Linked DNA regions of Coturnix japonica. The protein of the gene in region 1 interacts with the protein of each later gene in a pairwise test. Links are inferred from orthologs where the notes say so. Each region holds a gene or a part of one and is shown in the gene's direction. Other genes may lie near its edges. The genes, in order: PSMC3 and PSMD9.

Region 1 (3,137 bases):
TAATTTGATGACTGTTTCTATTTTTATATTACTCTTTAGCTCCATTGTCTCCCCTGCCTTACATTTTTACAATTATTGTACTCCCAGAATAACATACATTGTATGTTTCCATGCTGTTGTGATTTCTACCTCTTTCTTCTGCATACTGATTCCAGATCATGAAGAGCGAAGTGCTGAGAGTGACCCACGAGCTTCAGGCCATGAAAGATAAGATCAAAGAGAACAGCGAGAAGATCAAAGTGAACAAAACTCTGCCGTACCTGGTCTCAAATGTTATTGAGGTGAGTGCTTTTCTGGAGCAAAGAGAGAAGTGTACATTTGTGTCAGGGAGGAAAAGTGATAGGAAGCCCATTGGTAATTGGAGACACGGTGTTTGACAGACTATTTCTGATCCTGAAGTCAAGTCACTTCTGGGTTTTTCTGCTGGTTTTATTTATGACCTGGCATTGTATATCACTTGCCTGCTTCACGTCTGGGTCATTTCTTGGGGAGGTATTAGCTACTGGGCTTCTGTACGTAACACAGCTAGTGGAGGTGACACAGCCCCACTTAGTGTAGACCTGAGTAAATGAAATATAGCAGGGTGATTGAAAGCAGTGGGTCTGCTACTTGTAAATCTGTACTCTATTGCCAGCTTTGCAAGAAGATGAGTTCTGCAGTTAAAACAGCAGGAGTTAAGAAACACTAATCAAAAAGATTTTTAAGAGTTATACAGAAAGAAAGAAAGAAGAGAATGGACTGGAATTAACAAATTTTCAGGTGGTTTTCTTCATAACTAATACACATCAGGTGGCAGTCCCTGCACACTCAGGGACTTGCCAGCCATGTTGCAGCTTCTGTCCCTTAACTGCACTGGTATTTTAGGATAAGAGGTAACGGCCTCAAGTTGTGCCGGGGGAGGTTCAGGTTAGATGTTAGGAAGAATTTCTTATCAGAAGGAATGGTGAGGCACCCAGATGGGCTGCCTCCATCCATGGTGGTTTTCAACAAGTGTGTGGATGTTGTTCCTGGACATGGTAAGGACGGGCTGACGGTTGGACTTGGTGGTCTTACTGTCTTCTCCAACCTTTATCATTCTGTGATTTTATTCACAGCATCTTCTTGTCCCTGCCTGCACTGGTTGTTTTAAGAGGTCAGCTGAGATAACTTTGCAAATCTTCTGAAAGTGCAGATGTAACACGGTGTCGTTTTTGTGAATCAATCTATTTATCTGATTTTATTTTATTTTTTTAAAGCATAGGCAGTTCTCAACTTTGGAAAACAAGGATTGGTTGGTATCAGTGTTTTAGATCTTAATGTAAGTTGCTGTAAGGAGAAAAGCAATCGGTGCCTTTAGCTGCTGCTTTGTTCTGGGCTGTATAGTGTCTTTTTCTGTGCTGCTGCGTGAGGAAAGGAAATGATAAATATTTATAAGGTACTTCAGTGCTTTCAAGATTCTACTGCAAATAAAAATTCCTGTTTCCATTTTGCATACTCCATGTAACTTAGAAACCATTAGTCTGGTTACATTATAGGGAAGATTTTTTACTCTGGTTTTCAGCTATTGGATGTTGACCCCAATGACCAGGAGGAGGATGGAGCGAATATTGACCTGGATTCCCAGAGAAAGGGCAAGTGTGCTGTCATCAAGACCTCTACACGGCAGGTAAGGGCCACGTGTCCAGTTAGGTGTGAGGAGCAGCCAGAAGTTACACTGGTCTGTTACTTGGTGAGGTTGGTCACCTCACAAATAGGGATGTAGATAAAGCAGAGATGTTTAATGCCATCTTTGCCTCTGTCTTTAACACTTATGATGGGCACTGGGGCCTCCAGAGCCCTGAGGTGGGGGACAGTGACTAAAGGGAACGGTCAGCTCCCAGGCAGCTCTGAACTTTGGGATTTGCTGCTCCAGCTGGATGCATATAAGTCTATGGGGCCCAATGGGATTCATCCCAGGGTACTCAAAGAGCTGGCTGATGTCATTGTGAGACCTTCAGGAGTATTTTTTCAGTGATGCTGGGAATCTGGAGAGGTCCCAGTTGTCTAGAAGCTGCCAAGTATTGTCCTAATTCTCAGGAAGGGCGACAAAGAAGGGCTTGGTATTGACAGGCCTGCCACTGCCTGGTAAAATCATGGATTTTATTCTGGAAATTACTGAGGAATACTTGAAAGACAATGCAGTCATTGGTTACAGCCAGCACAGGTTCACAGGTTCTTTGATTCTATGAGTGCTGTAAAGTTCCTTGTCCCAGTACAGATGGCTTTGCTTACTGTAATGCCTGTCTTGTAGACATACTTCCTGCCTGTTATCGGGTTGGTTGATGCTGAGAAGTTGAAGCCTGGAGATCTGGTGGTGAGTGTTGTTGTTGTGACTGTTAGCTGTGATGTTGGCCAGAAAATTGCACGTGCCTTTTCCTTTAGAAGGGACACCATCGGTTCAGGTCTTGCTGAGATCGCTTTTGTACTAAAATTTGGATTTAGAATAACTGGCTGCAATAATATTTGTAGTATAGAAAAGTCATGTTGGAGAGCCTATTTCTACAGACAGTTAAGTGCCCAGAATTTAGCTGTCTACCTGTTTTATTGGGCCTCTTCCTTCTAAAATATGCCAGACCAGTTGTTGTGTTGTCCCCCTTGCCAAGCTGTTGTGATCTGATGAATGCTAGTATTGGAGCTGGTCAAACCTGCATCCTGGAGGTCTAGTGGATCACCTCTGATTATGTGTGCTTTGATTGCTATCTGAAGGGCCTGGTAAAAGCAAAGAACTCGTGTGTTGTAGGGTGTGAACAAGGACTCTTACTTGATCTTGGAGACTCTGCCTACTGAATATGATTCACGGGTGAAAGCCATGGAAGTGGATGAGAGACCCACAGAGCAGTACAGCGACATTGGAGGGCTCGATAAACAAATCCAAGAGGTGATACCAGTGTGAATGAGGACAGCAGGCTTTGAACTTCCTAAACGGGGCAGCCTGGGTTTGTGAAGTTTGGTTTTGAGTGAACATTTTTCTTTTGCTGTAGCTTGTGGAGGCCATCGTCCTGCCCATGAATCATAAGGAAAAATTTGAGAACTTGGGTATACAGCCTCCCAAAGGAGTCCTTATGTATGGGCCTCCAGGAACAGGGAAGACGCTTCTAGCTCGAGCGTGTGCTGCCCAG
Region 2 (4,529 bases), on another chromosome or scaffold:
CAGTATGGGGACACTGCACAGCGCCCATAGCCCCAGCCCCAGACCTACCCTCATTGCCTGGATTGAGCGGCGACGAGAGGACGAAAATGATCTGGGGTGGAAGAGGATGGGAGGAAGGAAGAGTTAGTGATGGGAGGGAGGATCCCACCAGCTCTGCTCAGTGCATCCCAACACACTGCACACCTTGTCCTGCTTGATGACGTGTGACACCACCTCCCTGCTGCCGGTCTCCAGCCCGCGGTACGCCAGCTCCTCGAAGCCCAGCTTGTTGCAGTAGTAGGAGGCAGCCTGCAGCACAGCACGGTGTGTGCATGGCTGTGCGGTGTGTGCGGGGCCATTGTGTGCTCCCAGCACAGCCGTACAGCCCGTTCTGTGTGCGGTGACGCGTTTTTGCTTTTCCTTTGCATTTTTGCCCTGTGTGCACCCCCTGCATCCACCCCCCACCTTGCGCAAGGGCCCAAGGCCGTGGCCCCTGGCCAGGGCTGCTGTCAGCACACACACACACATACATGGCCCCACCATCCCCTGGCAGCCAATGGCCACCGCCGCCAGCCCTGCGGCCCCCTACCTGCTTGGCATTGCCCACCCAGAAGGTGATGGAGTGGAAGTGGATGAAGCGGCCTCGCTGGTGCTAAAGGGAAAGGGAAAAGAAGTTGTACAGTCCCTCCAGATGGAACTCTTCCCAATGCAATTCCTGCAGGTGCACCCAGTGACATGGATGTCACCATGGCCCCCCGCCATGATGATGTTTTGGAGTGTTTTGCATGCAGGCTGTTCTGCACACAGCGTTGGCTCCGGTCACATGGAGCAAAGTGGCTGCAAAACACCCAGTTGTCAGCCTGGAAGTGAGCCCAGGGGCATCTGGTCCTATAGAAACACGCAGTAGGAGGTTTGGGGTTTGGGGTTTAGGGTTTGGGTCACAGAGGAGGAGATGGCAGCTGCAACCCAAACCTGCAGCCTGTCCTCACTAACCCGCAGCGTTAACGATTCACCCGGCAGCAAAGCACCCAGCGCTGCTCCACCGCCACACTGAGAGCACTGCAGGGCAGCCATGGGGCAGCCATGGGGCACAGGACGGGGTGTCCCCCAGCAGGGAACCACTCACCTTTTCCCCTTTGTCCGTGTACGTCGTCTGCAAGAGAAGCGGGACAGGCGGTGAGTGAGCGGGCACTGAGCGCTCAGCGGGGCCGGGGGAAGCGTGTCCCCCATAAACGCTCCGTCCTGTGCCCGCTCACCATGATGTGACCCGCAGTGACAGCAGCACAGAACGCGACCCTGAGCGGGGCTGATTGATATAGAGCACAGCGGGGCTGATATAGAGCACAGCGGGGCTGATATAGAGCACAGCGGCTCCTCCTCCCACACTGCCCGCCCCGGGGGCACTGCCCGGCCATGGGGGCATCACCTCAATCACCTCCATCACCCCCCACATGGACACCCCCCCCCCATCCCCGCCCCCCGTTCTGCCCCCGCCCCCTTTGCTCTCTGTCCCCGCCCCATGTTCTCTCCCCCCGCTGCGTCTCTTCCTGCCGCCGCCATGTCGGATCGCGGTGGTTGCGGCTCCATGACTCTGAGCGAGGTGCAGCAGCTGGTGCGGCGCAAGGACGAGCTGGAGGCGCAGATCCGGGCGTGTTACCAGCTGCTGGACGATGTGAGCGGGGCTCGGGGCCGGGCTCGGGGCTCGGGGCGCTGCCGAGGGTCTCACCGCGGCCTTTCTCCCCTCAGCAAAAGGGCGTGGGCATGGACGGGCCGCTGGTGGACAGCGAGGGATTCCCCAGGGCCGACATCGACCTGTACCAAGTGCGAACAGCCCGGCACAACATCGCGTGTGAGTGGGGACGGGACGGGAGCGGCGTGGGGGACTCCTCAGGATGAGAAAAGGGGCTCGGGATGGACTTAGCGCTGCCTGCAGCCCCTAAGGGATGGTGCGGAGGGTGGGGTCGGCCTCTGCTCCGGGTAACAGCGATAGGACGAGAGGGGGCGGCTGCTCAGGGAGGTTTGGGGGCGTTCAGGAGCTGTGGGATGTACTGAGGGACGTGGGGTGGGTTGTGGGCTGTGTTGGGCCTTTAAGCCATAGCGATGCTGTGATTCTGCTTCTTACTGAGCTGGGTGCCACCCGCAGGTCTGCAGAACGACCACAAGGCGCTGATGAAGCAGGTGGAGGAGGCTCTGCACCAGCTGCACGCCCGCGAGAAGGAGAAACACGCCAGGGATGAGGCGGAGGCGCGAGCTGAGGCCATGAGCCAAAATCTGCCAACTGCCTTTGCCAAAGTCAACGTGGTGACACCAGAGTCACCCGCCAGCATCGCGGTACGTTGCTGGGGCTGCCAGTGGATGGGGATGGCTTCTTTTGTGCTTAAGAAGGGGAAATAGGGGATGTGTTGCTTATTTTCCTCTGCTAACAGGCAGGTATAAGCTGTGAGATACTGATTATTGTTATTATCCCACTCACACTTTCTTCATTCTGTGTTTGTCAAATATTCATTCACCTTCTCAACCAGTGCAGTTATTCTTGAATGTTCCCATGGAGGGAGCTGCCCGTTTGTGGCCGTGTCACTGGTTTGTCCCTGTGAGCTGGTTTGTCCCTGTGTTGGGATCAGAAATTGCATGTTGTCTGCTGCATCGTAGCACCACGCAGCTCTTACAAGGCTTATCTGTTCATTGCAGCCTCATTGTTTTCTCATAAAACAGAGCAGAAAAATGAGTGTGCCCTTGTTTCTAAGGGCATGGTATGATGTTCAGTTGTCTGAATGGTGAGAAGGGTGGTGTCCTAGCACAGCTTGTGCGGCTGGATGAAAGCTCCTGTGAGCAGGCAGTGTTACCTGTCATCACAGAACACAGACGTTCAGCTTCTTTCTGTCTGCCCAGGGTCTGCAGGTTGATGATGAGATTGTGGAGTTTGGTTCTGTCAATGCAAACAACTTCAAGAGCCTGCAGAACATCGCCACAGTAGTACAGCATAGTGAAGGGGTAAGTTTGGTTCTGCTGTAACTGCGTTCTCTTATCTCTCCCAATGAGTTACAGCATTTGCTGTGGAACGGCCAGAGAAGCTACCACAGCCATTGGGCTCTTCATAATGGAAATGAGAGAGCTCATCTTCTTTTTTTGCTTCTCCCAGAGACCTCTGAGTGTGACTGTGATCCGCAATGGCAAGCAAGTGCACCTGGGGCTGACTCCGAAGCGCTGGGCTGGGAAGGGCCTGCTGGGGTAGGCTGCCAGTCGGAGTGGAGGGGGCTCTTATCAGCTCAGGGCACGTCTCCTGCAGGAGGAACCAGCTCTGCTTCGCTCTGTGCTGCTCTGATGTGTCTCACAGGCAGAGTCCAGCTGAGAGCTGGGGTTGTCAATTTGGTACTATACGGGGTGATGAGTTGTATCAGTCATGGGTATGGGGCTGAAGATCTCAGTGGCTCCTTCCTATAGTAGAGGAAACCAATGGAGGAGGGTTGTGGTTGATCTGATTTGTGCTGTGTTGGATCATCTAAGCTTCTTTCGGAACATAGATTTAAATGTTTTCTTCCCCACTCTTCTTTTTCAGCTGCAATATCACTCCATTGCAAAGATGACCACTGCTGGGAAGACAATAAAGATGAAGCTTGTGCCTGCTTTCTGGACTCTGATTTGATTTGAAAGCTTGCCCTGTGACCTTTGTTTTTGCTGAAATGGGTGTTTCAGGGGCTGTGACCTCTGGGTGGCTGAGCTTGCAGGGTCTGAAGAGGTTCTGATGGAGCAGGACCTTAATGCAGTTGGAATTGCGCTGGTTTGTGAGGAGCAACTCACAGAGTTGCAGGAAGTGGCTTCTCATCTCTTTGTGCCTTGCGTCAGTTTGGAGTAAGGCTGCAGTGTAACTTGGATTTCACTTGATACAGATTGGGAAGAACATAAAGTGCTTTTACTTGGTGACAACGTGGCATTCCTTCATTTTTTCCTTGAAATTCCTCATTTGAACATCCTGTAAAGCAGGATACAAAGACCTGGAACAATTTTTCCTTCTTTAACTTAGTAGAACACACTCAAGAAACACACAGATCTGTTACTTTAACTCTCATGTGTTCATAGCTGCTGGAAATCACCAAATAAGAGAGCAATTTTGGAGTACCTAATTATTTTATTATGTTAATTGTTAATTGGGGGGATTGTTCCTGTTTGTAAGGTTGTTTCCAGTTGAACTTTGAAGTATTCATCCCGATGAATAAAGCTGAGTGGTGTCTCTCTCCCTTCTTGTGGAAGTTGCTGTTTGGGGGCTGTAATTGCAGGTAGGTTAAAAGTAGATCTGCAGAGACATGAAATCATTCTTCCCTGACCTTCCACAGCCAGAAATTGGTCTGGTGAAGCAAAGCAGGTTGTAGTTGTAAGCATGTGGATGAATGTTGTACTGCAGCTCTAGTGTGAGACCAGCTGGAGCTGGGCCTTGGCCATGTGTGCTCAGGGTATGTCTGCCTACCCCATGTGTGCAGTATTGCCTGAGCTGCAGGTGGATCTGGGTCTGTGTGCTGGTCCAGAAGAACAGCTCATGGGATGTTCTTCCCAGC

Evidence for each region.
Region 2: the proteins of PSMC3 (region 1) and PSMD9 interact in binary tests that used the Homo sapiens proteins (3 or more experiments, as listed by UniProt). The link is inferred for Coturnix japonica from reciprocal best matches to the Homo sapiens genes PSMC3 and PSMD9.

The regions. Positions count from the first base shown.
Region 1 is NC_029520.1:20,410,909-20,414,045, forward strand, and holds part of PSMC3 (26S proteasome regulatory subunit 6A), read left to right. Parts: intron 1-155; coding exon 156-281; intron 282-1,540; coding exon 1,541-1,645; intron 1,646-2,269; coding exon 2,270-2,332; intron 2,333-2,758; coding exon 2,759-2,896; intron 2,897-2,999; coding exon 3,000-3,137.
Region 2 is NC_029530.1:4,891,425-4,895,953, forward strand, and holds PSMD9 (26S proteasome non-ATPase regulatory subunit 9), read left to right. Parts: upstream 1-1,496; 5' UTR 1,497-1,498; coding exon 1,499-1,651; intron 1,652-1,725; coding exon 1,726-1,828; intron 1,829-2,122; coding exon 2,123-2,310; intron 2,311-2,868; coding exon 2,869-2,970; intron 2,971-3,118; coding exon 3,119-3,207; intron 3,208-3,535; coding exon 3,536-3,563; coding exon of another isoform or gene 3,564-3,622; 3' UTR 3,623-4,213; downstream 4,214-4,529. Other genes in the region: HPD (4-hydroxyphenylpyruvate dioxygenase), read right to left, coding at 49-91, 184-288, 569-631, 1,106-1,132, 1,236-1,238. UniProt on the Homo sapiens protein: Acts as a chaperone during the assembly of the 26S proteasome, specifically of the base subcomplex of the PA700/19S regulatory complex (RC).